2 linked regions of the Xenopus tropicalis genome follow. The protein of the gene in region 1 purifies or fractionates together with the protein of each later gene. This does not show direct contact. Links are inferred from orthologs where the notes say so. Each region holds a gene or a part of one and is shown in the gene's direction. Other genes may lie near its edges.

Region 1 (3,428 bases):
ATGTCCTTTGTTTTCTCAGTCCTTCTGGATGCACATTTTGGGGGAAGAAGCCATGGAGCAGAAAGAAAAAGATCCTCTGGCAACTAGGAACCCTGGTGGGGGCACCGGTGGGCATAGCACTGATAGCTGGAATTGCCATTCCTGCCATGATAATTGGCATCCCTGTATATGTGGGACGAAAGGTAGGTCACCAACTGTGTTTTATATATGTGCTGAGCAAGGCTAATACCTAGAGAGAAAGTTTTGCCCAGAGTTGTTGGTCATCACCAATGTGCATAGCTTGGCACAGATGGGCAATGCACCTCGAGGTGGCACCCCTTATGGCTCAATTGCTGTGAGAGTGAAGGAGTTTTGGGAGCGGTCACTGCTTATAACTGAAATGTTTTCACTTTATTGCTTTATGTTATTATTTCCTGTAACTGAGAAGCACAAACACAGGCAGTGACAGTTTGTTAGGAGACTGAATATAGGTGTTTATGTATGGGGAACTGTGATTCTGTAAGTTACCCACAAGCCTCTCTATTTTTTTTTTTTTTTTTTTTTATAAACGAATAGGCCTCGGATTAAGGAATTCTAATCATGTTAGCAAGGAATTGTGGGATGAATAACCAGCCTGACCATAATATGAGTTAATTAATGGCATGAAATGTGTTTTCTCACAGATTCACAATCGTTACGAAGGCAAAGACATTTCAAAGCACAAGAGGAATCTGGCCATCGCAGGTGGTGTCACCTTGTCTGTCATTGTGTCGCCAGTTGTGGCAGCAGTAACTGTCGGTAAGTGTAGGCTCTGCAATGATAAACATTCACTTGCATAGTTCCAAATGCGGACTTGGCCACGGCCAGTCACACTGCCGATCACAGCTGCTGCAAAGGCAAAAGCTGGGCATCCCATAATAAAATCAGGATACAATTATAATAACATTCTTCTGCTGTCACCAAGGTATCGGTGTTCCGATTATGTTAGCCTATGTCTATGGAGTGGTCCCCATCTCACTGTGCCGAAGTGGCGGCTGCGGGGTTTCTGCTGGCACCGGCAAAGGAGTCCGGATTGAATTTGATGATGAGAATGATATCAATGTCGGTGGCACAAATACCGCTACAGGTGAGAGAGGCCAACAGTGTTCTCTATAAAGGCAGCAATGATCTAAATAATTTGTGTATTTCTGAATAGAATTGCACTCTAGGTTCACCCAGACTGAACCCACAACTTTTAGGTTACTTTGAACAGAACTCAACTAAATCCTTTCTCCCCCTGTGCAAATTGTATGCAGGGAAAGAATTTGGGGGGACTGTTTTCAACAAAGACATTTTTAAATGATTGTTTTCTGATTTTTTTCCCCCCTTCGTTTCCTTTAAATATAATTGTGTATCATAGTGGGAATGTGTATGCAGCACAAGTCCTGCCCACAACAAGAGCAAATGTACAACTGTTAGTTACTTCTGCTTGAGCAGCAGCTGCTGGTAGAGGGTGATGGGAGTTGTAGTTCATCAGTGGCACCTTTCTGGGACTAATAAGCGGAGGTAGAAAGTGGCAGCTCCTGTTTATGATAAGTATGTTTGATCTGTCGGTGGGTGATGGGGTGGTCCCTCAGTGGCGGGATCAGACGGGGGATGTGCTTGGGGAGAGAGAAATGTTCCATATAAGGAGCGATTACCAAGCAGAACCTTCTGGTCATGCTAAAGGGAAATGCTTTCATATCTGCACAAGCCAAGAGCTTTTCTGGGCACAGTGACAAATCATATCTAACCCCAAAAATGCTGAGATCTACAGTATCGGGAGAATGCAAGTCTGTGTCTGAACTGTCTGTTTGGGTTACTGGGAACAGAATCCCTGCCTATAGTATGGTCAGATCGTGGGCCTGGGGGTCAAATGATTGACTCTGCCCAATTTGACCCAGTTCAGTGGCCATCCATGTGCTTGGGCAATCAGGGTGCATGGGCAGCTATAGAGTTCCAGGCAAATAGCAGCACCCGTGGGTGCTAGCGCACTTTCCTGCTCCCGTACAGACTGATGCTCTTTCCTGCTTGGCCTGCGCTGTGTGTTTACGCCATTGCCTGGAAACAGAATGTACAGGACATATTGCTCCAAGCTTCCAAGGTCTCTGCCAAATGCAGATTTTCCTCTCGTTATTTCCTGATGTGAAACCCCAGGCTTGCCCAGAACAGTCTGTAAAATAACTTAGGCATTTAACACCTTTCTTGCCCAACAATGCATGGCTTTTTACTACCAGGTTATTCACACAGGGATTTGACCCCACATTGGCCAATATGGCCAGCTCTTATGTTCATCCCAGGTGGCACAACTCTTATCCCTGTGTGCAGAATCTGGTTCATAGCAAGACATTTTAGTTCAAGTTGGCGTGTTAGTGTGTGTTTACTATACATTTTTGCTTTGTGTTGTTTAGATGCCACGTCCGTTGCAGAAGCGCGCAACAACCCCAGCATCGGAGAAGGAAGTGTAGGTGCCATGACGGGCAGCTTGAGTGCCAGTGGGAGTCACTTGGAAAGAATTGGAACCATCCGGGATAACCTTAGCGAAACTGCTAGCACCATGGCACTGGCTGGGGCCAGCATCACCGGCAGCCTGTCCGGAAGTGCTATGGTGAATTGCTTTAATAGGTAAGGCATGGCTCTGTAGCTAGGTAGTACTGCTGCCATGGGCATTAGAGCAAGGAGTAGGACCCACATTTACAGGGAGGGAGCATTCAGCCAGCCATACTGCAGCTGTGCCGTGGTCACTGCATCTCTGTACCAACTTGCCATATCACCACCTTCTAACTAGGCATTCAGTTCATGTTACATGATCAATGGGCGCTGTGCTGCCTGCACCACGGCCTATACAGAATACCGATATTATAGCTGTCCAGGATCTAATGACAGCCCTGTGGGAACTACAGTTCTCCGCATACTTTGGGCTTGGTAAGTTATGCCTTGTGTTTTCCCATGTGTGCAAGCATGTTTTCTCCCAGTAATTATATCTTTATGCTGTATGCAGAATTTCCTGCTATTAGAGGACAAACTTTGGGACCCCTACAACTAAACTCTCCCCATCAGATATCCCCTAGCCCTGCAGCACCCAGGATGGCATAGGTTAACTAGGAGCTTAAGGTTCACTTATAGAAGCAGCTAGGATGGTAAAGATTAACTGGGAGCTGGGTAGGGATTATATGTACAAAGGTTTCATGGTGTGGTAACTGGCTATGGAACTATGTAGCATTCAGCCTAATGATAGTGCTGTGCCCCATTTGTCATTGCACTGTGCTCTGCAGGACACAGACTTCTGCCCCAAGGTAGTGGGATAGTGGCATAGACATATGAGTAGTAGAAATGCAGATAACATATGGACATGGCCAGCATCTAAAGATCTCCGTCCCCACAGGCTGGAAGTGCAAGCAGACGTACAGAAGGAAAGATACAGTCTGAGC
Region 2 (4,436 bases), on another chromosome or scaffold:
GACCCGGGACTGGGCCTCGCTCCATGAATACGTGTTGCGAGTTATAGTTCAACACATGTGTGTACAAGTATTTTAACATTTACTTTTCACTGATCAATTTCCCTCACACTGGGTGTTCAACCTGTGATAACCACACCGGTAATTGCACTTTGCCCTTTTCTGTCTGAAAATCTCGATTTTACTCTATTTTTTTTTTTGTTTTTTTTTGTTTTCTTTGTGTTTTTTTTCTCTATTTTTGATAACACACGCCCAGTTGATGATGTCATACTGGTTTTGGCGCCACTGTTGGGTTTATTGGGGGATTTGTTTGTTGCACATTCACTTTGAGAAAGGCTGCTGTGTCAGCCGAAACGTTAGTCCTTGCTAATAAATATTTTTTGTTTTCATAAGACCTGTGAGTGCGGCATTTATACATACTATACAGATGCTTTGCTATCCTGCACCCAGGCATTATTTATGCTATCCTGCTACCCAGGGGCCCCCACACCCCCTCTGGCACCCCCACCGGCTACTCATCTAAGGCTAGCCCCTCCAGTGCCAGGGTCCGACTGCTACCCAGGGGTCCCCTCACCCCCTCTGGCACCCCCACCGGCTACTCATCTAAGGCTAGCCCCCCCCCCCAGTGCAACTTATACTTACTTTTTCCACGATCAGCAGGGGGAGGGCAGCGAGGGAGCAATAGGGGAGGGCAGCCAGGGATCGGGATAGTTTGGCGGAGCCTGGGGCTTTTCCAAGAAACAGACATAGGGGCACATTTACTAAAATGCGCTTTTTTCTGGCCTTGAAATGCAAAGTAAACACGATAATTTCTGTAGTTCTAAAATGTCTCGACAAAGCTTTTATCGTTTGTGCAAAAATATCGCAATTGCGTTCTGAAAGTTTGTAAACGCCACAAAAACAGTTTTTGAAGCCCCCATAGGACTCAATGGCACTTGACAAACCTGGCAACGTCCCAAAGTGTAACCATAGCGATAATGAATTCCAAAATGTTCATATTCTGTGCACAAAATACGACTTTTTCATGGAAATTTTACCGAAAACCATGAAAAACCATGAAACTGACTTTTTCCCATACATTCCAAAATGTTCTATAAAAATACGAATTTATCTCAAAATTGTTTAGTAAATGGGCCCCATAGTGTCAGTAGCACTGCTCAGTAAGGAAATCTTTTTTTTAAATACTTTATTTTGTATTTATTTTGAAGTAACAGGTGGGTTTGGAGAAGTTCAGCATTAATGTAAATCCGCCCATTAACACTTCTGCTACAGTTTCAAGTCAAAACCCAAGAATAAAAAGGGATAAGCAGATACTGCCTTAGCAATTGCATTTACAAATAACGTTAAAAGCACTGAAACTGTGCAAATAAATGTTGTTAATTAAAATGATATTTTTATTGATTATACAACCAAGAATAAAGATTTGGGCGGAGTCAGAGCTTACAGGCAGCCCGCGGGTCACGTGGTTGAGGGAGCAGCCCATTGGCTCAGCTGCTGGGGCGGTGGGGCCTAAAGCGCCGCTTTTATTGGTTGGAGGAATCACGTGGTACGTTTGTGTCACTAGTTGTCTCTCAAGGTGCGCGGCTCCGCTTTCTCCGCTGTCCGGTCTCGGTAGCTGCAGTCATGGTGCGGGCGGTGTGTGTGCTGGCGGGAAGCGGCGACGTGAAGGGGGTGGTGCACTTCCAGCAACAGGCGAGTATTGTAGCGTGGCTTTAGGCATTGTGCCTTATGCGCTTACCCTTACTGGGCCTGTCCTGTGCCTTCAGCTGCTAGTGTTCCTGCAGCCTGCGCCATCTGTGCAATTCCAACCAGCCTTTCCCCTTAGGCAGTATGAGATGCACAGTGCATGCTGGGAGGCGGTTGGGTTGGCAGTGCATGCTGGGAGGCGGTTGGGTTGGCAGTGCATGCTGGGAGGCGGTTGGGTTGGCAGTGCATGCTGGGAGGCGGTTGGGTTGGCAGTGCATGCTGGGAGGCGGTTGGGTTGGCAGTGCATGCTGGGAGGCGGTTGGGTTGGCAGTGCATGCTGGGAGGCGGTTGGGTTGGCAGTGCATGCTGGGAGGCGGTTGGGTTGGCAGTGCATGCTGGGAGGCGGTTGGGTTGGCAGTGCATGCTGGGAGGCGGTTGGGTTGGCAGTGCATGCTGGGAGGCGGTTGGGTTGGCAGTGCATGCTGGGAGGCGGTTGGGTTGGCAGTGCATGCTGGGAGGCGGTTGGGTTGGCAGTGCATGCTGGGAGGCGGTTGGGTTGGCAGTGCATGCTGGGAGGCGGTTGGGTTGGCAGTGCATGCTGGGAGGCGGTTGGGTTGGCAGTGCATGCTGGGAGGCGGTTGGGTTGGCAGTGCATGCTGGGAGGCGGTTGGGTTGGCAGTGCATGCTGGGAGGCGGTTGGGTTGGCAGTGCATGCTGGGAGGCGGTTGGGTTGGCAGTGCATGCTGGGAGGCGGTTGGGTTGGCAGTGCATGCTGGGAGGCGGTTGGGTTGGCAGTGCATGCTGGGAGGCGGTTGGGTTGGCAGTGCATGCTGGGAGGCGGTTGGGTTGGCAGTGCATGCTGGGAGGCGGTTGGGTTGGCAGTGCATGCTGGGAGGCGGTTGGGTTGGCAGTGCATGCTGGGAGGCGGTTGGGTTGGCAGTGCATGCTGGGAGGCGGAGGGACAGTCCCATAGGAGGGTATTTCTGCATTGCCAGTATAGGTGTGGGGGGGTCTTGTCTCTGTCCTAGACTTTTACTGGTGGGAACAAATCATTTCCACATAAGCTGTGGCCCCTGTGCCACTTCCACGGTCTCTCCTACACACAGCGCTTGTTATAGGGCCCCGGGGTGTGAGCGCCACTCGGTGAGGGATATGTAACTCCCCGCAGCCCACTGACCGCTATATCATGAATGACAGTTGATGGGAGTTGTATAATAACAGAGGGCTGTAAGTGGGATGCACACGTTAGTCTCCCCCCCCCCCCCCTCTCACTCTCTCTCTCCTCTCCCAGGCCTCTTGCCTTTAGCTCTGTACCTAGTGTCCCACCCCCACAGCACAGAATCCAGGGGGGAAAGTCCATGTTGCGCTGTAGGGAAATCCCACAGAATCATTTAGTTTGCTGCTTAGTGCCCTGCAAAAATACCTTCCAGAACAAGTAGGTGCTGGGAGTTGTAGTTTCATACAGCCTGTGGTGCCAGTTGTGCCCATGTCTGCTGTCCTTATACACATGCATTGTTACCAGTGCCCCATGCCCTGCCGGAGCCGTTCCTGCCATGTAGTAGATGAGGAATGGGTGCCCTGCATAACTCCAGGGAATTGAAACCAGTGCCCCAGGGCTTTGCCCAGTGCTGCTATTGGTTACAATGAACACAAAGAGCATGCAGGGAGTTATAGTTTAGTTATACAGGAGAGTCACAGGTTGATGTTGTGACCCGCTGTTCTGGTTGGTGTGTCACGTGCCGCCCTTTCACCCCAGACTGTGTGTTTGCAGTGAGGCCCAGGCTGCATGACGTGCCAGCGGGCCGGCTATCACTGGGCTAAGCTGCGGCTCTCAGCGAGGGGAAGTCGGGTCAGAGCGGCCATCTGTTGTGTGGGTGTGAGGGCCGGGGGCTCGCTGCTTTGTGGCCATGTGGCATGGGGATTATACATGTTGGCAAAGCCACTCTTGGTTATCTCCTTGTAATTAGCCTGCTGGGCAGGCAGGTTGAGGCTGTGCCAGTTAGTGCAATTGTGCCAGGGGGGCCCTGATGCAGCACAAGCCCTCACTGTTTATGCCCAGGGCACACACTCACCATTAGCCACATTGTGCAGTCATTCACTGTCTGTAGAGCAGTGTTGGGCCCAGGGACTCCGCTAGATGCGGTTGAACTACAACTCCCACTATCTGACTGCATCTGGGCTCTTTGCAATAGAAGCAGCCAGTGTGGCAGAATGCCAGGCAGATAGGGCACAATGCCAGGCAGTTAGGGCACTGCTGTGTAAGTGTGACTCAGCACTTTGGGACTGGAACGTCGAGCTTTGTTTTGCAATAACAGCCATTTGCTCCGGCGTTTCATTGGCTGCAGCAGTGCCAGCGGTGTCTGAGACGGGCAGTGTTGGACTGCAGCTCCCACAATCCCACAGATAAGTCAGCTTAAAAATGAACCCGAGGTCAGGAATCTTCTCTGTGGCTCTGATTGGTTTCCCATTCTGTAGGCGGGCCATATGCCATTAACCCCTCAGGTGCTGGCACTTTTTGATCCATCTGCTGCATGAGTGGCCAGTAACATGGGCTGTGTTTAAAAAGACAAGTTGAATCTGTGGCACTGGCACGATATGCGGATTTGCCCACATGTGCAGCGTTATTACATTCAGTCGTCTAGAGCTTTAATAGTCATGTGACTCAGGGTAGGGGTTCAGTTAGAGCCTGCGCCTCGCTGAATCCAAATGCTGTAGCCATATATATCCCATAGCTCCGCTATCCTACCCGCACA

The links.
Region 2: the proteins of rnf19a (region 1) and sod1 purify together in Homo sapiens (affinity purification with western blotting, with the first as the bait; 3 studies listed by BioGRID). This does not show direct contact. The link is inferred for Xenopus tropicalis from reciprocal best matches to the Homo sapiens genes RNF19A and SOD1.

What each region holds. Positions count from the first base shown.
Region 1 is NC_030682.2:128,194,302-128,197,729, reverse strand, and holds part of rnf19a (E3 ubiquitin-protein ligase RNF19A), read left to right. Parts: intron 1-19; coding exon 20-182; intron 183-662; coding exon 663-777; intron 778-943; coding exon 944-1,105; intron 1,106-2,408; coding exon 2,409-2,622; intron 2,623-3,382; coding exon 3,383-3,428. UniProt on the Homo sapiens protein: E3 ubiquitin-protein ligase which accepts ubiquitin from E2 ubiquitin-conjugating enzymes UBE2L3 and UBE2L6 in the form of a thioester and then directly transfers the ubiquitin to targeted substrates, such as SNCAIP or CASR.
Region 2 is NC_030678.2:15,648,508-15,652,943, reverse strand, and holds the start of sod1 (superoxide dismutase [Cu-Zn]), read left to right. Parts: upstream 1-1,604; 5' UTR 1,605-1,620; coding exon 1,621-1,689; intron 1,690-4,436. UniProt on the Homo sapiens protein: Destroys radicals which are normally produced within the cells and which are toxic to biological systems.